Linked DNA regions of Oryctolagus cuniculus. The protein of the gene in region 1 interacts with the protein of each later gene in a pairwise test. Links are inferred from orthologs where the notes say so. Each region holds a gene or a part of one and is shown on either strand. Other genes may lie near its edges.

Region 1 (3,790 bases):
CTTTGGTGCTCGTTTGCTGCTAGAGGAGATGGTGGCTTCACATCTGACCAAGATGTAGTGGGGGATGGGGGGAATAAGGTATGGTTGGAATAAGCAGCAAAACCTGCTGCAAAGGCAGTGGCTGGCAAACTTCAGTGTGCAGCAGAGTCACAGGAGGTGCTATTAAAACTCCAGACGCCTACGCTGTGATTGAGTCACATACGTTTGGGACAAGGCCCAGACATCTTCATTTGTAATCCGCACACCCCCGACCCGCCCGCCATGCTCTGATGCAGGCAGTTCCACCTTCAGCTCTGCCAAAGCACACATCACCAGCACACCGGGCACACTGCCCCACTCTACCACTCACCCTCGAGGGCAACTCCAGGTCAGCAACGAGCTGAGACGACACGTGTACATCTGATCATGGAGGTGAGCACTCGCTCACCTCGCTCCCAGCGTTCTGCTCAGAGTCCGCGTGCCATCTACTCTAACGTACACCGAATAAAAGCAACACTTATGAACTCCATGTAAATTCTGAAGGTGAGCAAATTACTTTATTTCTGAGGCCTGACAGCATTGACTTTGTTATACAAGAACCTGCAGCTGACAGAACTGACACACAGATTTCCCAACAGGAAGGACTCTTTCTAGTAGCGGAGATGAAATGAAATGTCACGTCTGAGTGCAATTCCTGGGCCCCACCCCACCCCACGTAACCCCCGCAGGGAAAACAGATCAGTAAAATCCCCGATAGTGACTGAAAGTCAGCCCTCCGAACTCTTGTGACAAGCAGCTGCAGCGTGGAAACCAAAGGAGGGAAGCAGCTGGCCACCGTCAGCACCGTCCTGTGCGTGTGAGACTGCAGGGACAGCAGCAGGAGAGGAAGGAGTCTGGATGAGTGGGAGTTGGAGATCCACCTGCCTCTGCCATACCTAAGACACCTCTGTCCCTATACACGGGAAACGCTAAAGGATATGCTAAAGGAGTAGTTTTAGCCTGGGGCCCATTGAGTTCCAAGAAAGGTGTGGGATAAGGGGCACCAGAGAGACAGCAGGTTAGAGAGGCTCAACACTCAAGTCCGTTCCAGTTCAGTGCTGGCCTAACTACCTCGTAATCATAACCACCGTCATGACTAACCCCTATTTTCAAGGTAAGAGAGTGCCATCTCAATTTCTGTGCCTGTGTCTACTGCCACCTCTGGGGTGGCACTGAGATGTTTGTGTGTGACAATACAACTTGGATGGAAGGGAGGAGTCGTGGAAGGCCACAGTGCTTCAGTTACAATGGGCTTGGTCCCCAGAAGGCACGGCCCACCACCACAAGTCATAAAACATTCCTGTCTTCCTCCCCTTTTGGTCTCATGTGAATGTCAAAACTAGAATGGTGAGGAGGGAGTCACTGTTGGACCGCAACTGTCTCTGGCCCCACCTGGTCCATACGCTGACCCTCCTATGAAATTGCACAAGTATTCTCAGCAAAGCTGTAAAGTTATGCCATCCTCAATCCTTTCTCACAGCCAATCCAACAGCTCTGTTCTGACATGCTTTCTCCCTGGGCCGAGGAAGCAGCAAAAAATATCAACTGAGCATGTGAAAATATGATGACAGTGTGTGTGGTGTAATATTTCTCGATGTCTTCACATTCTGTCTCCTCCATGGTGGGAGCCCTCCTGCTCTTCCCCCAAGTCCCACACATACCCCTCCCCTACCCCCAAGTCCAGGTGCTCCCATCTGCTGGGCTTCCAACACTCATTTCCCATAGACACTCTCATCGCTGTAGGCCACATACAGAAAATAGTCTTCCTCATGGTTGTCCTGGGGAAGAGAAAAGAAGACAGCTCAGGACACCTATTCATCTTCATTATTCCTAGGCTTCTGAGCCACACACAGCCTTATTGAATAAGTATGAAGAACATCACTAGCCTCTATTAAAAGAGTAAGCAGAAGTGGTTAAACCTGTGGGTAGAAGATCTCATTCTAATTCTGTCACTCTGCCTTTCAAATAAATAATTTAAAATATTTTTTAAAGTTCATATTAGCAAGGGAAACATACCACAAGACATGTACAGGAATATATATTAATGGAGAAGATACACTATGGAATAGAAGTCCCATTAGAGTTTGTGTCATTACTGAGGCGCCATGAGAAGGCAGCACTCGTGTGAAATCCTTTAAGGAGTACAACAGTTATAATGTTACGTTCAATTTCCAACGTGAGAAAGTGCTTTACTATAGCTTACTCATTAGATTACCAATTAAACCAAGTCAGGTAAGTTATTCTCCCTGAGTTTGTCTCTTAAGATAAATGAATCAAAATGAAGACTTGGCCTTAATTTGCATTTCAATTTCAATTACAATTCACTGTGCCCAGGTAATGGTGAATCTGTTTCATGTTCTTAGCTTTGAACTCAGAAATAAGGAGCTACCCTTGTGTGGCTCTATATGGTTGTCTTAAACCAAAATTTCGGTTTAGAGCTTAAGGTTAGTTTCAGAGCTAGAAGGGGCTAAAATTAACACCATTTGTTTTCTCAAATAAATAGCAATAAAATAATGAACTGAGATCTGAATGCATAGTTTGCTTTCACACTATTTGTCACCAACAAGAAAAAGAGGAACTGCAGTGAATCCATGTTTGGAATCTTTGTTATCAACAACCACTTCCAGTCATTTCAATAAAGACCACTGACATTACAACAGTAGTCAGGCGAGACTGAAGAGAGATTTGTCAGCGGGAATAAATCTAGTCCTGAGGACTGCTTCCCTGCAGGACAAGTGCTGTCTGATCACCCAGAGCCTGACACTGCCATCTGTAAGAGGATCCTGGTAAGTAACACCTTCTGCCCCACTTTCCCAGTGTTATCAACAACTCAGACTGCTCGGAACTGCTGCGACCGGGAGCATTACCTCATACAGCTGGCCCATGGTGGCACTAGTGGGAGGGATGGTGTTGTTGACAAAGAAGAATAAGGCGTCCTCAGGTCTCAGGTGGATCCTCTTCCGGATTAAGAAGTAGAACTGGCCAACTGGATGAAGGAAGAAGGAAAATGAAGGCACGAAGAGCAGAAAACAAGGGATTAAAGGAAGGGTAAATTCTCCTGCACCTGTACCCTCTAGAGTAAGTATCAGCTTTGGAGACCATCTGAGCAGAGCCAACCATCCTCCTGCAGCCTTGGGAATAAAAAGTGAAACACGAGAGGCCCGCAGAGTCCCAAGCGCAACACAGCGGAGTTTACTCCTTCTTTCCCCCATTAATTTCAGACCCACTGTTAGCAGATCCACCCCAAGATTCACCTGATGCACAGGAGTTCTATGTATAGCCAGACCAATCAATCCCATCATTGTCTAAAGCTGACCTGTAACACCCTTCCACCCCCACTTCCCCCAAGACAAACCAGAGATGGAAAGAGGTCTACCAGACCCCAGGAGTCTTAGGGTGGTCACTCAATTCAGTGTGGGGGCACCAAGTGTGAAGTAGTGTGTTACATCTCCTGAGAATTCTGAAAATGTTCTAGAAAGTCAATATTCAAATCTATTAACTCTGGAGCAAGGAGATCTATAATCTTTCAGTGTCTCCTGAACACAGTAGGTATTCCATTAAGGATCAAGGTGAAGATCAAATATGTTCTTTATAATTCCAAACTCAATACAAAACCTATTACAAAACCACATGGCCTGAGGAGATGAGACATCTCACCGATAATCTCTAAACTGTGATCCTCCCAGGAAACTAGGCTGGTACTTCTCCTCAAACAAACTGACATCACAATGGCAAAGCTGATTTAATAGGTGGTTTAAATAATGGACATCTG
Region 2 (4,392 bases), on another chromosome or scaffold:
ATTCAGTGCCTTTTTCTCTTAGCTTCCTATTGTTTTGCAACATTTAGAGGACTTTATTCCTTTATATATATATGTGTGTGTGTGTGTGTGTGTGTGTGTGTATTAAACTGCCTTACTTTTTTATCAATAACAAATTACCTATCAAAAGCTTGGAGCCAAAAACTATTTTTTAAAATAAATTCTACGTTACTAGGATGAATAGTCTCATTTCACTGATGACAGTACTGTCATACTGAAAGGGTACTTCAGGTCAGCACAGTGTGTATTACTAACTAACAACTCGGCGTGTGGAACAGCAAACCTCTCAGTGCTGTACAGCAAACAGGTCACTAGAGAAACAGGCTGAGTTTACCCACTGTATTTTTAATCATTTACTAAATGTTATTTATATTCTCACCAGGAAAATGTGAAAAAGATACTGATACACATTATGTGATTTTATGCCAACACCAATGTTATTTTATGCCAACACCAATGTTATATTAATAACAATAAAAACAATTATACTTACACATCTTGTTCCATTTTCCTGTTAAAATACAACTTCAAGATGATTTAAAAATCATTCAGATGATTGTCATAAAATTAGTAAAATACGCTTTCCAGTAATTCCTAAAACCAACATTTCATATATAAAAGGATATCTGCAAGTATGTCATCTCATTCCACATGCACTTCCACTTAAGACTGTCATTTCATGGGCTGCATTACAAAGAATTACTTCACAGAACTTATGATCAATGCTCTTTATTACATAATATTCAGTAGTCATGCTCAATCAACAAGGCCGACAAACTTGTAAATATTCTTCTAAATAATCTAGCTTACTAGTAACATTTTTCAGTGCAATAACATTAAAAGAATTCCTGTATTCTTTACTCATACAATTTTGCAAATGGGAATAAATATATAAACACACAAGAACTTGTTTTCTTAAAGCAGGTAAGATTAACAGAGGTTAAAATTAAGTTTATTGATAAGCCAAAGATTGACCCTGACACTAATATCACCAAACTTAAAGTAGCTCTTGGTCAGAAAAGTACAGCAGAGCGTATGTGGTCTCCCTAGTGGTCTATTACTTGAGGTGATTTTTTTTTCAATTTCTAAACTGTTAACTCATAATAAAATGTTTCTAATCAAAATTTAGAACATTCTGATCAAAATGAGTCTGAACATGCCTTTCAAACCCCTGCTGGTCGTAGTCGGGAGGGAACTGCTCGCTGCACATTGGGCACACTTTCCAGTGACTTTCAACATGCTCTTCAAATTTGCTCTGATCATAGTTGGGAGGGAACATTAATTCACAGAGGGGGCACTTCTTATGAACATCAAAGCTTGAAGAAAAAGGAAAATGAAAATTATATATAACAGTAATATATGACAAGGTTATACTTATTGTTAGCACATATTCATACTAAACAATCTACCATGAAAGTATCTATTCCAGAAACCACCCTGCTTGCAATAGATAATTGTGCTCCCCATTTGTAAAACCTCTAAATTCAGTTTTACTACATTAACAAAATCCTTTTCTTCATGGAAAAAACCCCAAATCCAACTGCATTATGTGAAACAAGTCTTAGTGCCGAAAACTCAGTCCCTAACTAAAAGCAGCACTCCTTGTGAAGCTGAGAGGAGGCCTGCAGCTCACAGTTCCCCTGCAGCGCCCCATGGCCTGACAGCTGCAAGTTTCCATGGTACACACTCTGCAATGGCTGCAGGCATCGGAATCAGCCAGAGGCCTGCTACACACACTTCTGGGCACTTTATCCGGACCTTCTGGTTCAGCTGATTGGGCCCTAAGGATTTGCAGCTTGTAACAAGGACCAGGGGGCTGGCACTGTGGCACAGCGGGCAAAGCTGCTGCCTAGAGTCCCAGCATCCCATATGGGAGCCGGTTCAAGACCCAGCTGCTCTACTTCCCATCCAGCTCTCTGCTATGGCCTGGGAAAGCAATAGAAGATGGCCTAAGTGCTTCGGCCCCTGCACCCATGTGGGGGACCCAGAAGATGCTCCTGGCTTCAGACTGGTGCAGCTCTGGCCTTTGTGGACAACTGGGGAGAGAACCAGTGGATGGAAGACTTCTCTCTCTGTCTCTGCCTCTCCCCCTCTCTGTAACTCTGACTTTCAAAATAAATAAATCAATCTTTAAAAAAAAAGGACCAAGAACCACACTTTGACAGCCATTAGCCTATATAAACTATTTAAATTCTACAAAGGAAAAAAAAAATTACCTGGAATCAAAACAAAAGCCCGCTGCGTGCCCACGTACATGCTGACTTGAAGGATCAGGAGCACTGGGCGTATTCTCATCTTCCTAGGCAAAGAACAATTTTGCAACTTTTGAGAAAAGTGAAACCAAACACAGATTCCTTAATTCAGTCCCTTAAGAAAGATTACAATTGAAGATACTTTCTATTATTTAGTTAAACTTTCACACAGACATGTTTGAAAATGAGTTTTACAGAGTATTTCTCTAGGCCAAACCAAGACTCTGACCATATGAAATACAGGAGCCCCCCACCTTATTCACAGGGGATATATTCCAAGATTTTTGGAAAACTGCTATGATTTTTCTTATACATACATACCAAGGATAAAATTTATAAAACAGGCAGAGAAAGAGATTAACCATACCTAATAATAAAGTGGAATGATTTTAATGTACTATAAAGAAGTGTACGTAAATGTCTAGTGTTCTAGAGGTGTCAAAGTATCTTTCGGTACCTTCACCTTTTCACTCAAGGAAGCACTTGGCAGCTTCTCTTTTGCATGTCTGGACTGCCAGAATCACTCCTGTGGCTCTTTAGGGCTGTTACTCAGTAAATAAGGGTTCCTTGAACACAAGCACTGCATTAGTGCAACAATCATGGGTCACACACAGTGTGGATATGATGGATAAGGTTTCATCACACTCTTCAGAACAGCATGCAAACTAAAACGTAGGAATCATTTCTGGAATCTTCAATATTTTCAAGCTTTGGCTAACAGAGTTATGAAACTATGGAAAGCAGGGGCCAGCTCCATGGCTCACTTGGTTAATCCTCCACCTGAGGCGCCGGCATCCCATGTGGGCTCTGGGTTCTAGTCCCGATTGCTCCTCTTCCAGTCCAGCTCTCTGCTGTGGCCCGGGAAGGCAGTGGAGGATGGCCCAAGTGCTTGAGCCCCTGCACCCGCATAGGAGACCAGGAGGAAGCTCCTGGCTCCTGGCTTCGGATTGGTGCAGCACCAGCCGTAGCGGCCATTTGGGAGGTGAACCAACAGAAGGAAGACCTTTCTCTCTCTCTCTCACTGTCTATAACTCTACCTGTCAAATGAAAAAAAATTTTTTTAAAAAAAAGACCTCTCTGTCTCTACCTCTCTAATTCTTTCAAAAAAAAAAAAAAAAAAAAAAAAAAAACACTATGAAAAGCAAAAACTTGGATAAGGACAGATGACTATAAAAAGTACTGAGTGGAAGCCGGCGCCGCGGCTCACTAGGCTAATCCTCCGCCTAGCGGGTTCTAGTCCCGGTCGGGGCGCCGGATTCTGTCCCGGTTGCCCCTCTTCCAGGCCAGCCCTCTGCTGTGGCCAGGGAGTGCAGTGGAGGATGGCCCAGGTGCTTGGGCCATGCACCCCATGGGAGACCAGGAAAAGCACCTAGCTCCTGGCTCCTGCCATCGGATCAGCGCGGTGCGCCGGCCGCAGCGCGCTGGCTGCGGCGGCCATTGGAGGGTGAACCAACGGCAAAGGAAGACCTTTCTCTCTGTCTCTCTCTCACTGTCCACTCTGCCTGTCAAAAAAAAAAAAAGTACTGAGTGGAATACTTTTCAAACCTCTATGTGTAAGTAACTGAGTTTTTATCATTCCATACACTGAGTGACGGCTTCCACAGACATCTTAAGGTTGCAGTTATTCCAATTATTCTCAGCTATAATTTGCAATAAAGTCCCTTTGACAGGATACCTCTACTACACAATCACAAATAAAACACATGTTAAAGCAAAGCAATGCACCAAACCACAAGCTTCAAAACCCTGTTGTAGAATAAAGCTCAAAATTGAATATCTGACTAACAGGTCGTCAAGTGAGACTTCTAAAAAGCTGGGGATCTGAGTTTTAATCAGAAAACAGGGATTTAGATTCCTGTACCTGCATTCTGGTGGGCAATTCTTAAGAAATCTGTACAAGTTACATCCACAGCCAAACAATCTCATTTAATGCCAAAGGCAGCCACATCATCAAAATTGGCCCTTTATTTTCGTCTCAGGGCAGTTATTAGCTACTTTCATGTCATGAAGTAACAGCACATGAGAACAGCAGGCAGTGATGAAAACCCTGATGATGGTGGGTGCTTGGGCTCACCCCAGAGCTGCTATTAATGCAGTAGTCATCTGGGTCATGGGCAGAGAT
Region 3 (4,521 bases), on another chromosome or scaffold:
GCTTCATCTCGCCCAGCGCGCGCGTGTGCTGCAGGAAGCGCTCGCCCATCTGCTGCAGGCGGCCGCTGGACAGCTGGTTAAAGTTGAGCAGCATCTCGTTGGTCTTCTCGAAGCGGTCCAGCCTGGCGCCAGAGAGAAGGCTCCTATTCAGTCCTCAGCGCCCCAGTAAGGGTGTCCCGTGACGGCGCTGCCTGCCCCTGGGGCCCTGGCAGCTTCAGGGTGCTCTGGCCCAGCCCTGGCATGTGGCGCCGTGGGGGTCTGTGTCCTGTTTTGTCTACGCCCCGTCTGGGAGCTTCCCCAGGGTCAAGTCTGCAGCCAGCGCTGTGGCGTGGCGGGTAAAGCGGCCGCCTGCAGTGCCAGCATCCCGTGTGGGCGCCGGGTCGAGTCCCAGCTGCTCCACTTCCCATCCAGCTCTCCGCTGTGGCCTGGGAAGGCAGGGGAAGATGGCCCACGTGCATGGGTCTCCACCACCCTGGGAAGACCTCCTCTCCCCCTCTGGCTGTCACTCTGCCTTTCAAATGAACGAAAATAAATCACTCCCAGGATGCACCGGTCCTCCTCTCCCCAGCAAGGCAGCTGGAATCGGGGTGAGGCTGTGGCAGGCTCCGAGCCCGCCTGTGGGAGGCAGGTATGTCCCGCCGCCCTCCCCAAGAGACCCCGGGGGGCTCGCCACACAGCTCTGTGCCTCTGGTCCCGCCGTCCCCCCGCCTCCCCGCCCAGGAGCCCGGCCAGGGAGGAGGCCAGGGGAGCCAGCAGGCAGATCCAGCTCCCTGCGTTTGCATCAGGAGCGCGGCCGGAGTGGGCTCCCGCCCCGCCCCGCCCCGCCCCGCCCAGCCGGGGCTCACATGTTCTTCTGGGCCAGGATGATGGCGTTGACGTCCTCGGCGTTCACCATGCTCAGGACGCGGCTGCAGAAGACCCCGGAGGCCGAGTCGGGGGCGTCCATGTCCTCCTCCTCCTCCTCCGCGGCCTGGAGCAGGCGGGAAACACAGACTGCAGGGGGCTCCGGCGCGCTCTGGATCGGTACGGCTTCCCGGGGTCCCGGGCGCCTGCACGGAGCTGCTGCTGCTGCCTCCCAGCCCCCACCCCCGCCTCTGCACCTGCTGCCCCCACAGAACACGTGCGGCAAGGCTGCCTCATCGGGTCGCCCCCACGGGGGGGCGGGGTCTGCGGCGTGGAGCAAGGGGTTAGGGCTCCACGTGTGACAACCGCATCCCATGTGGGTGCCAGTTCGAGTCCCGGCTGCTCCACTTCCAATCCAGCTCTCTCTGTGGCCTGGGAAAGCGGCGGAAGATGACCCAAGTGCTTAGGCCCTGCACCTGCGTGGGAGACCCGGATGGAGCTCCTGGCTCCTGGCCCAGCCCTGACCATTGTGGCCATTTGGGGAGGGAAGCCGCCGCCGCCTTCTCCCTCCCGCCGGGGTCTCTGGGCCGGCCCCTGCAGACCCGGCTCTGACGGGGTTCGCCTGTTGTTAGCAAGTCCCAGGCACTGGGAGCCCCACGACCCAGACGTCCTGGACAGTGCCCGCTCTCACGGGCACACGAAGGACCCCACCCCAGTGGGCTGGGCCTCCCAGACCATGCGAGGCCCAGCAGCGGCGGGCGGGGGTGGGAGGGTCAGGAAAAATCTGGAACCTTGGCATAGCTTGGCCGCCAGGCCCACGCGCGAGATGACAGACAGCCCCATTTACAGCTGGCCGAGACTCGGAGCCCACAGCATCCACCTACTGAGCGCCTACTGTATGTGGCACACGCTCACTGCGCTCGGCGGTCACACAGCCCCCGAGCCCAGGCCAGGGTCCGAGCGGCCGCGGCCCTGGGCAGCACCCAGGTGCACGTGCGTCTGACGGGCCCCGCCCACGGCGGGGGGACAGCTGCTTCCTACGACAGCTGATAAAAACAATTTTTTCCCCATGAAATCGCCTTATTTGCCACTGTTAGCCAGGAATTCTTTTTATCCAAAACATCACGGGAGCCAGGACTGCTCGCGCCCTGACCCCGGCAGGTGGCTCGCCGCCCCTGGACACGCGCTAGGACTGTCTGCAGAGCAGGGCCACCCACGCGCTGTCCGGGGATCAGGGCAGAGGCTCCAACCCCGGGCCTGTCGCTGGCTGCCTCTCTCAGGAAGCCTTCCGGGCTGCACATCCCAAAGGGAACTCACGCAGCAAGGGCCCCGGTTTCAAGTGGGGGAGGGAGGGATCAGTTTTCTCATCCAGGAAATGGGAATGGGGGGCGGTGAAGGCAAGGTGGATTGTGGGCGGAGCTTGGAGCAGGTGTTTCCCCACGGGGTCCAGCCTGTTGAGGGCATCCCACGTGACTGCAAGAGGCGGAGCTAACTGCACAACGTCGCACTGAATTCCCAGCCACCCCTGCGAGGGTCGCCCACACCGTCGGCTGAACTCCCCACTCCGCGCCCCGGTAAAGACAGCCCGGGTGGGGCGGGGCTTGGGTCTACACCCGCAGGCTCCGCCCACACGAAGCGGGGAAACTGAGGCACCGGCAGGTGAACGCCCAACTCCAGGTCACACCGCACCGTCGGAACGCTGGTGGCCCCAACGCCCGCGCCCCGCACGGCGCGCCCCACCCCGGGCAGCCCGGGGACGGCGCCCGACCCGGCCCGGCTCCCCGCCGCCCCGGCGTCCCGCTCCCCGCCCCGCCCCAAGCTCAGCCCCGGAGGCGGCGGCGGCACCTGCACATCTGGCAGCCTCGCTCGCGCTTCCGGGATGGCGTCCGCGCCGCCGCGACGTCACCACGCACGGGCGCTCGCGGCGGCGGCGCACTCTGGGGCCGACGTGCGTGCGCGCGTGCGTGGTGGGGGCTCGGCAGGAAGAGGCGGGCTCGCTCGCCCTGCGTCACAGCCCACGTCCAATCAAACGGGCTCTCGTGCGCCTGCGCAGTCCGCGCGGCTGAGCCGCCGGAAGGGGTTAGGTCGGAAGGTATGTCCAGGGCTGATGTCCGCAGTCTCCCCCAGTCCGTGAGAGCTCCCAGGCTCCCGTCGCTTTGAATGATCTTAGCATTTAAGAACTTTTTCCTAAGATTTTTTTTATGTACTTCAGAGGCAGAGAGAGAGAGGTTTTCCATCCGCTGGTCACTCCCCAGATGGACACTGGGCCAGGCCGCAGCCGGGAGCTCCATCCGGATCTCCCGCGCAGGTGCAGGGCCCGGCATGCTGCCCCCAGGCCCTCAGCCCGGGGCTGGACCGGTCCCGAGCTGCAGAGACTGAAGCCAGCGCCGCCGCCTGGGGTGCGGGCGCCACAACGCGGCCCCCCAACAAGGATTTTTTAAAATAATTTTTAGAATTTTTGGGGGGCCGGCGCTGTGGCATAGCGGGTAAAGCCGCCTCCTGCAGCGCTGGCATTCCCTATGGGCCCCGGTTCGAGTCCCGGCTGCTCCACTTCCGGTCCAGCTCCCTGCTATGGCCTGGGAAAGCAGCGGAGGATGGCTCAGGTGCTGGGCCCCTGCACCTGCGTGGGAGACCCGGATGGAGCTCCTGGCTCGTGCGCACCGGTGGGAAGAAGCTGGGTCGCAGACCCCGGCTCTCAGATCTGGGATCCAGGCTCCCAGCGGGCGTCTTGGCTACGTTGTTACTGCCGCCTCTGCTGAAAAGCCCCGGGGACCAGGATTCTTACGGAGTTTGACAGTTTTTAAAGACTTTCCCTCCCGCCAGGTGTGGCCCGTGTTCTGGGACCCCAGGGACCACTTAGGTCCTGCTTAGGCCTGGAAGGAAAAAGGAGATAGAGTCAGAGGCAGACGCCCCCAGCCTCGCGGGGCTTCTGTGTTTGTAAAGAATAGGAAGGACCCTCCGTGCGCAGGAACCTGAGCCGTTGTGAGCGCTCGTTTTGGGAGCAAGGGAGGTTGCGGGGAGGCAAACCCCATCTAGCTGGGGTTTTGAGGTTGGAGTAGGAGTTTTGCAGGCAGTGGACGTGACTTGGGGCTGTAAGAAACGATGATGGGAAACCACACGGTGTGGGCTTGACCGTTGTAAGGGGGGGGGGGCTCGGTGAGCCCGCGGCGGCCAAGAGCTGAGAGAGGGGCCCTGCTGGGGGAAGCTGCTCGATCCATGGCCGTGTGCAGGCTGCCGCAGGGGGCCCTGCCAGAGGCCGGGGCACGTTTCTGGGAGCCCCAGACGGGTAGGGACAGAGGGACTTGGGGGCCCCGAGGACTGGAGACGAAATGTCCTGGTGTCCTGTGTGTTTACGGGAGAGGGTGGTGAGCGCAGGGCCGCCCCGTCCAGCAGGAGAGACCCATGGGAGGGCACTCGCAGCCCCCTCCTCCGCCCTGTTTTGGTTGCGTTTGCTCCACGCGTGTCCCCGGGTGGGCTCAGCCACTGGCCACCCTGGCCAGGGAGGGGACCTGGCCCACGTTGCCCTCCATGGCCGCGACCTTGAACAAGCTACGCCATGCCTCCGTTTCCCTGGCCATACAGGAAGCTCTCGGGAGTCGTACCAGATACCCCCATTCGTCCCTAAAGAAGGCCAACGTGGTGCCAGCATCCCATGTAGGCACGGGTTCGAGTCCCGGC
Region 4 (3,431 bases), on another chromosome or scaffold:
CTAAAGCATCCATCTGTCCCTGGTTGGTCTGTGTCCTAGGGTAGCACTTGGGAACAGCGCACTCGTTCAGCTGTCCCTGCGGGCTGCTCCCGGTCCTAACGGCATCCTCTCCTCAGGCTTGTTGGTCTCTTCTTTTCCTAAGCTCGATGATTCTGCTGTTGCCAGGGAATTGGCCATCACAGACTCTGAGCACTCGGATGCCGAGGTCTCCTGTACAGACAATGGCACGTTCAATCTTTCAAGGGGCCAAACACCTCTAACAGAAGGCTCTGAAGGTGAGGGGAACCTTTGCCTTGGGCTGATAAAGGCTCTGACTGCTGCCTCGAAGCTTCCCTGGACAGAGGAGCCCAGTGCTACTGCTTCTCCCGTGTTCTGATCGCGTGGCCGAGCAGCCGGAGGGCTGCAGGTGCAGCCAGCATGGCATCACCCCTGCTTCTGTAGCCCCCAGTCCCTAAGTGGAGGGGGAAGCCAAGCAGCCCCGTGGATTTTGCTTTACTCTGAAATCCACAGTGGGAAAAGCAGTCGTGTGGGGTTTTTTGTTTTGTTTTTGTAGCGCTGGGGCACGGAGAGGGCCAGGTGGCTGCCATGTCTCAAACTCCCCTGTATTCTCCCAGAGCTGGATGGTCACAGTGATCCAGAGGAATCCTTTGCCAGAGACCTTCCCGACTTCCCTTCCATTAATGTGGACCCTGCTGGCCTGGATGACGAGGATGACACGAGCATTGGGATGCCCAGCTTGATGTACCGGTCCCCGCCAGGGGCCGAGGAGCCCCAGGCGCCCCCCGCCAGCCGGGATGAGGCTGCACTGCCAGAGCTCCTGCTTGGTGCCCTGCCTGTAGGATCCAACCTCACGAGCAGCCTTGCCAGTCTGGTCTCCCAGGGCATGATCCAGCTGGCCTTGTCAGGGGCCTCCCAGCCAGGTCCGTCTGGCCCTCCTCCCCGGAGGCCAAGAGGCTTCCTCCAGGCCCCCACTTCAGACCTGGACACTGATGCTGAGGGAGATGACTTTGAACTTCTGGACCAGTCGGAGCTGAATCAGATGGACCCTGCGAGTTCCAGGAGCCACTGAGACAGGACTCCCTTTGGAGGTCATATGGTTTAGTTTTCTTCTCCCCATCCCGCATAAGGTGACGGGGCAAAGGAATAACCCAGGTCCCATCCCCTGAATTATATTTGTATGCTGGGTGGCCTGGCTGATGCTCAGAGGCCTTCTCAGAGCAGACACTCACTCCCCTGTTAGCAGCTGGACGCCTGTTTGTGTGCTCAGTCACTGAAGAGTGTGCTCCCCCCAGGCAGGCGTCTGTCCATCACGATGGTACTTTGGGGAACAAGGTAGTCAGGGACATTGGTTCCCCTCTGAGGTGGTGCTGCTGTTTGCTTTCAGGAGTGGGTCCTCTGGGACCCTCGTGACAGAAGATCGCATCCCTTCCTTCCTCCCCTCATTGCTCCCCAGAGTCAGGCAGCAGCCAGAGAAGAGGCAGAGTTGTTGTCATCTTTCGTTGAAACACAGCTTGTTTTTTCAAGCCAGCTTGTCCTTTGGTTCTGCTGTGCAGACCTGCCCCCACTTCCCCCAGCCGTCCCCATTTCTGGATGCCTCAGTCCCAGGGCCTAATTCACTTGTGAAATTTAAGAAATGTGAATAGGATGTGGGGCTGGGCCTCCCCTACACCACGTAGGGCCACGGCGGTCAGCTGGCCAGGAGGGTTCGGGAGTGCCTCTGTATCCCGAGGGCTCGCTGAATCTTCTGGAGCTACATGGTTGTCTTGGTGCTGCTGACCCCTGGCTCTGTTTGACCATCAGCCTGAGCAGTGAGCAAAGCAATACCACACCCATTTCTTAGGGTCCTCCTCTGGAGAAGCAATAATTCCCCGGGGGACGGCGGAGTAGCACTTTACACACGGCTCCGTGGGTTCGCCCGGGAGCTACCAGCTCTTCGGCACCAGCTGTCCGTACTCTTTATTCTGCTCTTTTCCTTTATTTGTTGCTGCTTCCTCACTTGGCAGGGCCTCCTTTAAGGATGGCCGTTAGCAAGTCTGTGTCTGTAATCAGCAGAGACCCCTCTGAGGGGCATCCGTTCCGCAGCCCCTAGTGAAATCATGTGAAACAAAACCCAAAAACGATCATCGGTTGTAAACCTGTGCCAGTCTACAGCCTCTGCCTCCTCGGTCAGAGCTCAAGCCAAACTCTTCCATCCTCTTCCCCTCTGCATCAACCCTCTGCTGATCCTCAGGGACCACCCCGCCCCCCGCACTCCCATCCTTGAGTGAAGGATCTTGGACAGAGCTCATTTCCACGTGCTGCAGGTGGGGGTGTGCAAACGTTTGCCCTTGGTTAGTGGATGAGGTAGAGGCCAGGGCGTGCAAGTAGTTAACGGTGAGAAGGGAAGAGCTAGGTGCCTGCTTCTGGTCACTTACCTTCGTGTGAAGATTAAGGGGAGTGGCATCTCCCCACTCCGGGGTCCTCAGACAGGCTTTGGACACCTTCGCTCTTCCCAGGGCCTGGATGTCTTATAGGTGAGTGCTGGTGTGCAAAAAACGGGAAGTGGGGTGTTGTGTGTTTGCATGAGTGTGTGTAGCTTCAGGCCTTGGGAGTTAGCAAGAGGGAGGGAAGGAAAGAGAGCAAAACCTTTGGAAGGTGTTTCTTGTACCTGGGGATCCTGCTCTGAATCTCCTTAGTCCTCCACTGTGAACTGGGGGTGGGTGGGTGCTGGGGAATAAATCTTATATGAGAACAATCTTCTAAGAGACTGATGCTGAATGATGTCCCCCTGTGACAGCCTAAGCGGAAGCTCAGGTATGAGGGACCCACCTGCTCATCCCCCTTTTCCCTTGTGGTGGCCAGGCCAGGGCAGTCACAAGTATGAGGCCACGCCCTCCTTGGAGAGCGCAGACCTGAGAGTGGCTGGCATTCAGCCTGCAGCGCCATCCCCCCTTTGGGGGGAGACCAGCGCGGGTTTCACAGGCGCCATGCCCCTCCTCCGGATTCTGTGAGCGTCAAGGGCAGCTGCTCTTTGGCGTTCCGATGACCTCAGAAACTAGAAATGCTTATTTCGGGCTCTGTCCTACTGGCCACTGTGGTCAGGAGTGGAAAGCACCTGCCAGGTGCTGCCGTGGGATTGGGCCGACGAGAAACTTCTGCAAGCTTTGCGGCTTAGCCAGGCCCTTTCCACCCTGCCTTTCCTGGGCGCTCAAACCACGGCAGGTGTCGCGCGCCCCCTGTGGGCGGAGCGGGGTTACGGCGCTGACGCTTTCAATGGAGTTTTCCCAACCACCCTGCCACAAATACCAATTGTTCTTGTTTGACAAACGATGAAACCAACTGGCGGAAGAGCACTACCCCGCGGGACCGGGACACGTCCAGCCCAGCACGGGACTTTGTCCTCGAAGCTTCTTCCCGTTCGCTCTGGGCCTAGCGCAAGGGCACGAGTGCTC
Region 5 (3,790 bases), on another chromosome or scaffold:
GCTGTGGCATAGTGGGAAAAGCTACTGTATGCAGTGCCAGCATCCCATATGGGTCCCAGTTCTAGCCCCAGCTGCTCCACTTCTGATTCAGCTCTCAGCTAATAGCCTGGGAAAGCAGAAGATGGCCCAAGTGCTTGGGCCCCTGTACCCATGTGGGAGACCCAGAAGAGGCTCCTGGCTCCTACTTCAGATGGGCCCAGCTCTGGCTGCTGTAGCCATTTGGGGAGTGAACCAGTGGACAGAAGACCTTTCTCTCTGTCTCTCCCTCTCTCACTCTACCTCTCAAATAAATAAAATCTTTAATAAAAAAAGAGTATTAAATAGTTCTGTGAAAAAGACACCAGCTTAAACACACACATGCTAACATGCTTTATAAATAGCTGTCATAATCTCCCAAATTTTTGGCTATAATAGTATGCTATCAAACGAAATATCTTGAGAGAAGTGACATTCCTATGACAAAATGATTGCTATTCTCTTTTCTCCTTTGGTGAAGTAAAAACTATTAAAGAGGGTTGGGAAAGTAGATTTCTGTACAAGTCACAGGAATCTTTCTCCTGCTCTAAGTTACCCAGCCACTCCTTCAGACAGGCAGGGGGCAGTACGGGAGGAGAGGCCAGGTTCCAGCCAGCAGAGTCCCAAAGGCTCTGGGCTGCTTTGCTCGGAGAGAGCACTGCCCACACCCTACCACGAGACTGCGCGCTTCAGCACACAGGCTGTGCAACCTCGGAAGCACAGCTCCAGCTGTGAAAACACACAGATGCCTTAACTTAAACCTAAGCAACGGGGACACCGGCTGTGTCATCTCTGACAGAGGTTCTCACCTCACGTGTGAGAACGGAATTTGAGGAACACTGGTTGGTGTGTTTTCAGCTTTCTTCTCCTTGCTCTACTTAAAATACAGTGATTTGGGTTTTTTTTTTAAGATTTATTTATTTATTTGAAAGTCAATTACACACAGAGAGAAGCAGAGGCAGAGAGAGAGGTCTTCCACATGCTGGTTCACTGCCCAATTGGCCACAACAGCCAGAGCTAAGCCGATCCAAAGCCAGGAGTCTGGAGCTTCTTCTGGGTCTCCCACGCGGGTGCAGGGGCTCAAGCACTTGGGCCATCTTCTACTGCCTTCCCAGGCCACAGCAAAGAGCTGGATAGGAAGTGGGGCTGCCAGGACTCAAACTGGAGCCCATATGGGATACCGGCACTGCAGGCGGTGGCTTTACCCGCTACATCACAGCACCAGCCCCAAAATACAGTTCTTAATAAAGGACTCAAGCTACTTGCAGTGATGAGAAAATCTACAAGTATTCACCATGATGAGAAATCAAGAGAAAAAATTAAGTCATCCAAAAGGAAAACAAAATACCTTGGTTAAAAGACAATAAACATACAATTTTTGTCAATTAAAATAATGTTTAAAATGCCTAAGGGGGAAGGATCTAAACAGTTTCTTTGACACATAAATGCCAGAATAACTCCAGTAATTACAAATATGACTGATTTAATAATATGCCATCCCACCAGTACTATCCTAAGCGTTCCCCTGTCAGGAATGATGTTTACTCTTGACTCTGATTTTTCCAACTGCAAACACACAAGAATATTTAGTTTCAAAACTAATATAAGGTTGGCTTTGTTAGTAAAAATTGAACATGAAACTGACCTGTGCAGAAGCTCTGTAGTCATGGAAATAAAAAATAAGGTACATGTAATTACAACTAACCTTGGACAGAGGTTCAAAAACATCTCTGAATCCGGAAAAGTATTAAGTTATATTGTGCCTCTCCCTCTAAATCAACTTTGCTTTTCCATCATGTATTACTAAACAAAGAAAAAAAATGCTCTGCCTGAGAAAAAATAAGCATTCCCTCTCCCACCAAGAGAAAAATCCAACAGTAACAAATTCACACTAATACAAGAGCACCAGAAAGGAGAGGCGTGCTCACTGACTCTCAGTTAAGTCACGTCAGACACAACCTGGCTTCTCCACAATCAGAAGCCCTAAGGAAATGGGCTACGATTTCTAAACCAGAGCCTTCAGGACAACCAAGGATTTGTAAAACTCACTATCTGTGACAGGAGCTGGACAGTCAGTCAGTGCTCCATCTACTTCCCTGTGCACTTGGTCAGTCTCCCCTAATGATAAAAACAGGACAGCACCACACTCGGTGCTCTCACCTGAAGAAGTCATGGGAGAGTAAGGTGCAGAGCGCTGGCCGGCACTGTGGAATGGGATTCAGCAAAGTTGAGTGCAAGGTCTGTTGAAAGCTGGAGAGAACATCCGCTGAAACTGAAATCCAGAGCTACAGTTAGTTTCCAATGCCTTCTCCTCTTTTCAGGGCCTCTACAGCTGGAGACTGACGAGGGCAAAAACCAACCTGTAAAAGCCCAAACAAACAAAGCCCCTGCTGTTGCTGAACAGCTTCCTGCTTGCCTTATGCCCAGTCCCTGACAGGTGCAGAGTGCTGTCCTGCCAACATGTCCGACCTCGCCCCTTCCACGTCCTGACTTCCTCACTGCTGAACTCGGCTCAGGCCAAACAAAGGCTTACTCTGTGGCAGATTTAAGGGCCTTTCTCACCCAGGGTTCCTCAGCCACAGAAGATAAAAGTTATTTAAATGACTCTTGTTTTAAATTCTACCAAGTATGGTACATACTTGCCACCATTACAGATGCATAGTAGTTAGCTTATTACATATGTTTACCTTAGAGTTTAATTCTCAAGTACTTAAGCTGGGAAAATTTACAGCTAACAGCTGAATGAACACTCCATAAGCCTGTTAGAAAGAAACCGCACTGCAACAGCACAAAGCTTCACAATGGGAGACACAGGCCAGGAATGGGCATTATGGGACACGTGCCTCAGTAAACTCAACAGCAGGTCCCAGTAAACTTGAGGGGTCCCCAGACAGTGAAGCAGGCTGCTGAGCGTGCAATTAGAGAACACAGAAAACAAGTCTTTTGTAGTCTAGGTTTCAAAGGATGATGGAAGAAAAAAATAATGAGTAAATTACAGCAAGAGGAAAAAAAATCAAAAGGCTTTGAAAAAAGTCTTGATTTAGAAATTAATAAAAGATGTTGAACCTTAATCTGTTATTCAGGGGACCGGCGCTGTGGTGCAGCAGGTGAAGCTGCCACCTGCAGTGCCGTCATCCCATACGGGCACCAGTTTGAGTCCCTGCTGCTCCACTTCCGATCCAGCTCTCTGCTATGGCCTGGGAAAGCAGTAGAAGATGGCCCAAGTCCTTGAGCCCCTGCAGCTGCGTGGGAGACATAGAAGGAGCTCCTGGCTTCAGATTGGCCCAGCTTCAGTCATTGCGGCCAACTGGGAAGTGAACCAGCAGATGGAAGACCTCTTTCTCTCTCTCTGCCTCTCCTCTCTCTGTGTAACTCTGACTTTCAAATAAAATAAATTTTAAAAAAAATCTGTTATTCAGATCATTATATACAAGTCATTAACGGTGTTAGGACATTTGGCAAATAATTTGGGTGTTCCCCAAAGACCCATGAGTTAAGCCTTGATGTTCAGAGTCTTATGTTAATGAATTAAGGACAGAACTTAATTGTATTATGGTGTCTGAAGCTGAGGCCTTGAAAAGTGATTAGACTGGATTATGCTGTTAGGGCAGAGCCCCTATGATCAAACTGTGGCTATAAAGAGACACAGATGTGAAGGCAGAGTTGCTCCCTCTCTGCTTCCTGGCTCACCGTGTGATCCTCCCTTCACAAGTGTTCTGCCATCCATTGCCTTATCAGACACCCAGAATAATGAGGCCACCTGACCTTGGATTGT
Region 6 (3,790 bases), on another chromosome or scaffold:
CTGAGCATAAGCCCTAGAAGAGGTTCTTTTTATTTCTTTTTTTTTTTTAGATTGTTGCTGTCAATATCAGATATCTGGATTGGATGTTCACTAAGTTCTGAAACAACACTTTACTTTTTTTCTCTTCCTTTCTTCTTAAACAGAGCTTTGTAACTACATTGCATAGGAAGGCCACAGCAGATGAGTGCTGAACTAAATCTAGGTACCCAGAATGTAAAGACCCATTTCATGGTTCACCAAAGAAACTTGGAGTCGGTCTTGCTTCCCTGCCCTAGAGAAGAGCGCATTTGCTTCCCAGACTTTTGAACTTCCTCTCTACTGCTTGATGCCCGCAATGACCTGGGTTCTTAATGCAGCCTGCAGCTTACAACTTAGACCTTGAGGTTTCTAAAAGTTTGTTAAAAAATTCTTCCTCTCCATCTCAGACTGCTGTAGTTATCTGGGTGACACCCAAATCATTGAACTCTTCTCTGCCAGAAGAAAGGTAAGAAGACATCTCCACGACTAGTCATACTGGTTTGTTCATCCCATCAACATCCCTCATGTAAGCAGGATCCTGGATGGTGTTTCTGACTCTGCTGGTGCTCTGTCGTTCCATCCTCATCTTAATGGGGAAGCAGAAGTCTCTGAAGCACCGCTTGAAGTTTTCATCAAGAAAGGCATAGAGGATGGGATTGAGGCTGCTGTTGGTGTAGCCCAATGCAATGCAGAAGTAGTAGCTGGAGAGAGCAGCCGTACTGTGGGAGGTGCTGCCCAGTGCCTCCACAAGGATGAAAATGTGGATAGGGGTCCAGCAGATGATAAAGACTGCCACCACCACCAGAACAAGCCTGGTGATCCGGCGCAGGTTACGATCCTTCTCTCGGGAGCCAGAAAGGAGCCGTACACTCTTCAGGCGCAGGATCATGAGGGTGTAGCAGATGATGATGATGAGCACGGGGATCACAAATGCAAAGACAAAGACGCAGATCTTCATGAACAGGTCCCACCAAGAGTAGTCATCATCCGGGAACTGCAAGGAGCATTCGATAACATCCACATCTACAGGAAAACAAAACCAACAAAGTTTGTTATTGCTGTTCCCATAGATGCAGAGTGTTCTGAATGTGAATTTTAATCACTGCGATTGCAAAGGTCCAATAAGAATGAGATGATATTACCTGATGGACATCATCAAATTAGAAACAACTGCATATCCATATTGTATTACCCAGGCTATCTGTGTGCACAGAACACTGAAGCTAGCAAATCGCCACTTACATTAATACACAGGATGCTGTAGAATAAATAAGATTATACAGCAACATTGCTTATCTACTGATGGCTTTCAAAAGAGCTAAATTGTTAATTTACTGCATGACACTTACTTATAAAATGTTTCCATTTATTAACAGTTCTCTAAGACCTAATGCACTGGCAACAAAAGCTAATGTTTATTTGTAATAAATGACTAAATATTTAAACCTTGCCATTGAGTTTAAAAGCAGCCAACTTGTCTAGCAAACATTAATTGTTTTATTCAGGTAAATAAAACTGATATGAAATTTGTCTAAATATGACCCAAGTGTTGTGATTTAATGGAACCAACTGCATGTACTGTAATGAAGGGCATTACTGAAATATGGGTAACACTTCTGGAAGAGAAGGAGGAGAAAAAAGTAAAGGAGGAGACGAGGGAAAATGAAGCATGACAGAGAACTGGAAAAAAAGAATCATCATTGTAAGATTTCGGAGTAAATCAGACATATTTTTCATCATGGTAACATTAATACATAATTCAGATAAAATAAATACCTTTATATGATACTTAGGAAATAGTTTCATTTGCTCTTCTTCTGTTTGCTGGGTAGTATTATTTTGTAGGAACCTTCATATTAGAAAGAGCAGGGTCTCAGGATCAGTACCTTTTAAACTATTTGCATAGAAGCTCACTGTTCCCAAGCACAAAGCAGTCCACACTTTCTCCTGTTTCTGAGAAATCAAGAATTACAGAGCAGGCAGAACTCTCCTTGTCCTGGTCCTTCCTCATGGATGAAATAGTGATAAGCAACACTTGAGTGTAATATTTGCAATGGAAAATAAGTCCACTTTAATTTCCTCCCATTTTCCTCTCTGTTTTGCTGCACAAATTAATCTTCTTCCCAAACTGGTGGAGCTTTTCTCCCATTGCATCTGCACACATTTATCTATAACGACTCCTTCCTGGAAAAGCCACATCTTCATTTCCTCTTTCAAAAGCATAATTGAAATCCATTTACTCTAAGATGTCATTTTCTGACAATGATTAGAAGGAATGTAGTGATTAAGTCTACCAGTGAAATATGAAATGTAAAAATCAGCTCTTCATTTGTCCTAGGACGATCATCTTTATTCTTCAGCCCATTCCCCTCATGCTCACAGTGGATATGCAGCATCTCCTCTCCAATTGGAGTTGTTACACACAAACACCTAGGTCTCTAAAGAGTTCCATGCAGTTTGTTTTCATTTTTCGTAGGTATGAGGAAACAAATCCTGCATGTGATTAATCATATTTGAAAATGTTTATCTGATAGAGAAAGTTGGGCATTTCTTGAAAGTTACCAAATATTATAGCTTATTATCTGCTGTGGCTCTGCTGGAAACTCATTTAATAGTTTCAAAAGAAACAGATCATGCCACATTAAAAAACAAAGGATACAAGAGGTGGAGATTTGGTCTAAGGTTAAAATGCTGCTTGGAACACCAGTATCACATATTGGAGTGCCTGGGTTGAGTCTTGACTGATCCTGATTCTATCTTCTGCTAATGCATATCCTGGGAGGCAGCAGGTAATGGCTCAGACAGTTGGGTACTTGTCACCTATATGAGAGCAGGATTGAGGTTCTGGCTCCTGGCTTTAGCCTGATCCAGTCACAGCTGCTGCAGGCATTTGGGGGAATGAACCAATATACAGGAGTTCCCTGTCTCTTCCTCTTTGTGTTTCAAATGAATTAATTAATAAGAAAGAAAGAAAGAAAGAAAGAAAGAAAGAAAGAAAGAAAGAAAGAAAGAAAGAAAGAAAGAAAGAAAGAAAGAAAGAGAAAGAAAAGAAGGAAGGAAGGAAGGAAGGAAGGAAGGAAGGAAGGAAGGAAGGAAGGAAGGAAGGAAGGAAGGAAGGAAGGAAGGGGATTTTTTTAGGAAAAGGATACGTGTCATCATACATGTGTACAAACCCACAGAATGTATAGCCCCAAAAGTGAACCCCAGTATAAACTCTGGGTGATAATGTGTCATTGTCATTCATCAGTTTTAATAAATGTCCTACTCTGGTGGGAGACATTGATAGTCATGGAGACTGTGCATGTGTGAGAGTGGGAGCTATAGGGAAACTCTATACTTTCTATCCAACTTTGCCATGAACCTAAAGCTGCTCTAAAAATTTGTCTATAAAAACCATGCATCGGCCGGCGCCGTGGCTCACTTGGTTACTTCGCCTGTAGCACCAGCATCCCATATGGGCACCAGGTTCTAGTGTTGGTTGCTCCTCTTCCAGGGCAGCTCTCTGCTGTGGCCCGGGAGGGCAGTGGAGGATGGCCCAAGTGCTTGGGCCCCTGCACAAGCATGGGAGACCAGGAGGAAGCACCTGGCTCCTGGCTTCAGATCAGCGTGGCGTTGGCCATAGCGGCCATTTGCGGGGGTGAACCAATGGAAGCAAGACCTTTCTCTCTGTCTCTCTCTCTCTCACTGTCTAACTCTATCTGTCAAAAACAAAGAAAAGAAAAACATGCATCATGAAAAATAAGCTATGATTTTAGTGCCAGCCCTTTTACTG
Region 7 (4,373 bases), on another chromosome or scaffold:
CCTGCCCAACCATTGAGGATATTTGGGGGGAGGGGGGAAGCAGCAGATGGAAGATCTCTTTGTCTCTCTCTCTGTGTGTCTATAACTCTGACTTCCAAATAAATAAAATAAAGTTTTTTTTAAAAAAAAATGAGTCTTCTTTAAAAAACATTTCAATAAGTCCTATTTCACTATACTAATAGGAAAACATAACAATTGATAGTCCTAATACTAAATGATACTTAGTCAAAAAGATCAAATTATTATACTTCATATACCCTGTTTAAGAAGTCAGGAGGAAAGTTATACTTCTGAAATTTATATTTATTAAATAAAAGTTTTAAAAAATAAGTAAGAAGAAGGAGGGACATTGGGCATAGGAGTTAAGACATCACTTGAGATGCCTACATCCCATATCACAGTACCTAGGTTCAAGTACTGGTTGTGCTTCCAATTCTAGCTTCCTGATAATGCACATCTTGGGAGGCATCAGGTGATGACTCAACTTCCTGGATCCCTGCCACCCATGTGGGAGACCTGGATGGAAGTCCCAGCTCCTGGCTTTGGCCTGGTCCAGACCCCAGCTGATGCAGGTGCTTGGGGAGGTCTCTCTCTCTGTGTCTCTTATGTCTGTCTCTATCTCTATTTTTAACTTTCAAATAAATAAAACGTAAAAACAGAAGACAAGGGTGTATACTGCCACCCTTAAGCAGTCCTGCTAGGGCCTCAGGTTCAGAGTCACTAAAAAACCTTATTCTTAAGGAATAATGATAGTGAATAAAGAGAAAGATGGGGTGCAGACCCTGGTCCCATTCAATTGAATAAAGGAGCCAGCTAAGGCGTCATTGCCTAAATAAGTAAAACCTTTGGCATATTCAGTAATTTTGCCAAGCAGCAAAGAATTGGAAGCACCAATGGAAAATACATCTATAGATCTGTACCCTGATTTTATTGGAAAAGCAAGGTTTAGCAAAATGTTTTTATTTATACCAAATTTTTTATTGAGTATATTGAAGTATACCAATGGGAAACTATAAAATACTGCTGACAAGAATACAAAAATAAATGGAAAAATATCTTATCCTCAGAGATTGGAAGACTTGATATTATTAAGATGTCCATACTATGCAAAGCAATATACAGATTCAATGCAATGCCTATCAAAATCTCAATGATATTTTTTGCAGAAATAGAAAGATAGATTCTAAAGTGCATATGGAATCTCAAGAGATCCTGAATAGGTAAAACAGCTTTGAAGGAGAACACAGTCAAAGGATTCAAATATCCTGAGTTCAAAACATATCACAAAGCTACAGTGATCAAAACAATATGGTACCAGTACAAAAGCAGACAAGTCAACCAATGCAATAGAATATACAGAACTAATATGAACTCTAGCAATATGATAAAATGATCTTCCACAGCAGTACCAGGATCACTCAATGGAAAAAGGACAATCTCTTCAATAAACGCTGCTGGAACACTGTATATCCACATCCTAAATTATGAAGTTAAACCCTTATTATACAATATATACAAAAACTAGCTCAAAATGGATTAAAGACCTAAACATAAGACCTAAAACTACAAAATGACTGGAATAAAATGTATAGGAAAGGCTTAGTGACACTGGACTAGGTAATGATTTTTTGGATATAACCCCAAAAGCACAGACAATAAGAGCAAAAAAAGATAAATGGGACTACATTAAACATAAAAAAACTTTGTGCATCAAAGAATGCAATCAAAAGAGTCAAAAGACTACCTACAAAAATGGGAGAAAATATTTGCAAATCAAATATCTGTAAGGGGTTAACACCCAGAATATATAAAGTACTCCTATAACTCAAATATTAAAAAATCAAATAACTTGATTAAAAATGAGCAAAGAACTAAACAGGCAGTTGTCTAAAGATGATTCACAAATGGTCATGAGCACATAAAATCCCTCAGTATCACTGATCTCCAGAAAAATGCAAATCAAAACCACAATTAGATATCACCTCACATCCATTAGAATGGCTATAGAAAATACCAAATGTTAGCATGGATGTGAAGAAATGTAAAACCCTGTGTATTGTTGGTGGGACTGTAAAAGGATTCAAGCACTATGGAAAACATATAGTATATGTAGTGTAGATGCTACTCAATGATTAAAAGTAGAACTAACATAATAATCTCACTTCTGGATAGGCATCCAAAAAGATTCAAAACAGGGTCTCAAGGACATATTTGCATAGTTCTGTTCATAGCAACACTATTCTCCATAGTCAAGATATGAAAGTGACCCAAATATCCATTGATAGATGAATGGATAAAGAGAGTGTGATACATATTTGCATTTGCTGTGTGTATGAGGTATGTAAAGTAGTTAAATTCATAAAGCTAGAAAATGGAATGGTCCCCAGAGGTTGTCAAGGGACTGGAGGTAGGGGTCAAGGTGATTTTACTTGCTCTGAACTAGATTTTTTTACTGGGAGAATGGCTAAAACCAACACAATATCCGTGTTTTCTTGGAGTAACCAGTTATACATCCTTGTTCCAAGAACAGGTGGAGCAGATGCATTTTTCTCTATTCCTCCCACTAAGTAGAGCTAAAACACTAGTTTTTATAAATAAATAAATAAATCATAAATCTCTCACAGGTAGAGAAGGCAGTCTAGTGGCAAGGAAACTCAAGACGTGGCATGTAACAACATGGCAGTGAGTTCCCTGAGTTCTATTTTTGAGTAATAAATACTGAACCTGTGGCACTGTTGCTGTGGTGTAGCAGGTAAAGCTGCTGTCTCCAGTGCTGGCATCCCATATGGGTGCCGGTTCGAGACCCGGCTGCTCCACTTCCGATCCAGCTCTCTGCTATGGCCTGGGAAGATGTTGGAAGATGGCCCAGGTCCTTGGGTCCCTGCACCTACGTGGGAGAGCTGGAAGAAGTTACTGGCTCCTGGCTTCGGATCGGCACAGCTCCAGCCATTATAGCTGATTGGGGAGTGAACCAGTGGATGGAAGACCTCTCTCTCTCTCTCTCTCTTTCTCTCTCTCTGCCTCTCTGCCTCTCTTTCTCTGTGTAACTCTGACTTTCAAATAAATAAATAAATCTTTAAAAAAATACTGAACCTGGTGATGGAGAAGCCAGCAACTCAACAATGCCAATAAGTCTGCAACACAACAACAAAAAGTCCCTCAAAAAGTCATCTATCTCTATCCAAAAGAACCAGAAAGAGGCAACCTATAAAGGCAGATGATGTTTATACAGTAACTTTAATAATCCAGCTAAAAATCACAGGAAAAATTGCACTCTCACTCCCACTCCTATCAGCAAAGACCAAATGGGAAGCCTAGACTTCCACCTTCAACTGGCTTTAAATATTCACACATCTCTTTCCTATTCTCCTATAAGTGGTTTCAGAATGATCTGAGTGGGAATCTAGGATTTTCATCCTCAAGCATGTGATGGTAGCGTAGCTATCTCTACAAGCCAAGATGGTATCAATGGAATCCTACTGAAGATCCTGAAATTTAATCCTTACCCAGTAATAATGGTATCCATACCCCAGTTATAAATGGATGGTGAGTGGGAAACCTTGACTCTATACTCACCTGGCAGTAATGAAGTCAAGTTCTCACTATCTCACCAGTGTGGTTTCAAAGTAGGTTTGCTAACAGAAGATTGAAATAAGATCCAGAGATGTTTAGCATAAAATGTCTAGGATCCAGGGGTGGGCATTTGGCACAGTGGTTAAGATGCCACTGGGAATGTCTGCATTCCATATCAGAGTGTCTGGGTTCAAGTCCTGGCTCCACTTCTGATTCTACTTTCCTGCTAATGTGTACCCTAGGGGGCTTCAGGGTTCAAGTATTTGGGTCCCTGCCAAATACATGGGAGACCCAGATTTAATTCCTAGTTCTTGGCTTCTGTCTGGCCCAGCCCCAGCTATTGCAGTCATTTAAAGATTAAACCAACAAATGTTAAAATCTTCCTCTGTCTCTCTGCCTTTCAAATAATTTTTTTAAAGTTTAAAGAAAAAGTCCAGGACACAGTGAAAATCACTCATTCATGATATTAAGAACCAAAAAAATTTCGATTTGAATGAGAAAAGACTTTCAACAGATACCAACACTGATATGATATAGATACTGGAAACATTCAACAAGGATTTTAAATCATCCATCTTAAAATTACCTCAACAAACAATTACAGACATGCTAGAAACAACTTAGAAAAAGTCTCAGGCCGTTGTTGTGGCACAGCAGGTTAAGCTGATGTTTGTGATGCTGGCATCCCATATTGGAGAACTGGTTTGAGTTTTGGCTGTTCCACTTCCAAAAAGCTTCCTGCTAAAGTGCCTGGGAAGGCAGCAAAAGATGGCCCAAGTATTTGGGCCCCTGCCACCCTT

The links.
Region 2: the proteins of GABARAPL1 (region 1) and TAX1BP1 interact in binary tests that used the Homo sapiens proteins (3 or more experiments, as listed by UniProt). The link is inferred for Oryctolagus cuniculus from reciprocal best matches to the Homo sapiens genes GABARAPL1 and TAX1BP1.
Region 3: the proteins of GABARAPL1 (region 1) and KXD1 interact in binary tests that used the Homo sapiens proteins (3 or more experiments, as listed by UniProt). The two-hybrid records come from large-scale screens. The link is inferred for Oryctolagus cuniculus from reciprocal best matches to the Homo sapiens genes GABARAPL1 and KXD1.
Region 4: the proteins of GABARAPL1 (region 1) and RETREG3 interact in binary tests that used the Homo sapiens proteins (3 or more experiments, as listed by UniProt). The link is inferred for Oryctolagus cuniculus from reciprocal best matches to the Homo sapiens genes GABARAPL1 and RETREG3.
Region 5: the proteins of GABARAPL1 (region 1) and SCYL3 interact in binary tests that used the Homo sapiens proteins (3 or more experiments, as listed by UniProt). The two-hybrid records come from large-scale screens. The link is inferred for Oryctolagus cuniculus from reciprocal best matches to the Homo sapiens genes GABARAPL1 and SCYL3.
Region 6: the proteins of GABARAPL1 (region 1) and OPRK1 interact in binary tests that used the Homo sapiens proteins (3 or more experiments, as listed by UniProt). The link is inferred for Oryctolagus cuniculus from reciprocal best matches to the Homo sapiens genes GABARAPL1 and OPRK1.
Region 7: the proteins of GABARAPL1 (region 1) and ATG4A interact in binary tests that used the Homo sapiens proteins (3 or more experiments, as listed by UniProt). The two-hybrid records come from large-scale screens. The link is inferred for Oryctolagus cuniculus from reciprocal best matches to the Homo sapiens genes GABARAPL1 and ATG4A.

What each region holds. Positions count from the first base shown.
Region 1 is NC_091440.1:106,922,989-106,926,778, reverse strand, and holds the end of GABARAPL1 (gamma-aminobutyric acid receptor-associated protein-like 1), read right to left. Parts: intron 3,005-3,790; coding exon 2,886-3,004; intron 1,797-2,885; coding exon 1,731-1,796; 3' UTR 511-1,730; downstream 1-510. UniProt on the Homo sapiens protein: Ubiquitin-like modifier that increases cell-surface expression of kappa-type opioid receptor through facilitating anterograde intracellular trafficking of the receptor. Involved in formation of autophagosomal vacuoles.
Region 2 is NC_091447.1:19,405,634-19,410,025, reverse strand, and holds the end of TAX1BP1 (tax1-binding protein 1), read right to left. Parts: intron 2,318-4,392; coding exon 2,235-2,317; intron 1,335-2,234; coding exon 1,133-1,334; 3' UTR 732-1,132; downstream 1-731.
Region 3 is NC_091447.1:65,705,646-65,710,166, reverse strand, and holds the start of KXD1 (kxDL motif-containing protein 1), read right to left. Parts: upstream 2,819-4,521; 5' UTR 2,689-2,818; intron 971-2,688; 5' UTR 947-970; coding exon 846-946; intron 123-845; coding exon 1-122.
Region 4 is NC_091448.1:20,299,468-20,302,898, forward strand, and holds the end of RETREG3 (reticulophagy regulator 3), read left to right. Parts: intron 1-142; coding exon 143-275; intron 276-614; coding exon 615-1,069; 3' UTR 1,070-2,739; downstream 2,740-3,431. UniProt on the Homo sapiens protein: Endoplasmic reticulum (ER)-anchored autophagy regulator which exists in an inactive state under basal conditions but is activated following cellular stress.
Region 5 is NC_091438.1:27,728,856-27,732,645, forward strand, and holds part of SCYL3 (protein-associating with the carboxyl-terminal domain of ezrin), read right to left. Parts: intron 2,288-3,790; coding exon 2,176-2,287; intron 1-2,175. UniProt on the Homo sapiens protein: May play a role in regulating cell adhesion/migration complexes in migrating cells.
Region 6 is NC_091437.1:78,042,534-78,046,323, forward strand, and holds part of OPRK1 (kappa-type opioid receptor), read right to left. Parts: intron 1,042-3,790; coding exon 509-1,041; 3' UTR 1-508. UniProt on the Homo sapiens protein: G-protein coupled opioid receptor that functions as a receptor for endogenous alpha-neoendorphins and dynorphins, but has low affinity for beta-endorphins.
Region 7 is NC_091453.1:85,192,533-85,196,905, forward strand, and holds the start of ATG4A (cysteine protease ATG4A), read right to left. Parts: upstream 2,883-4,373; 5' UTR 2,786-2,882; coding exon 2,725-2,785; intron 1-2,724. UniProt on the Homo sapiens protein: Cysteine protease that plays a key role in autophagy by mediating both proteolytic activation and delipidation of ATG8 family proteins.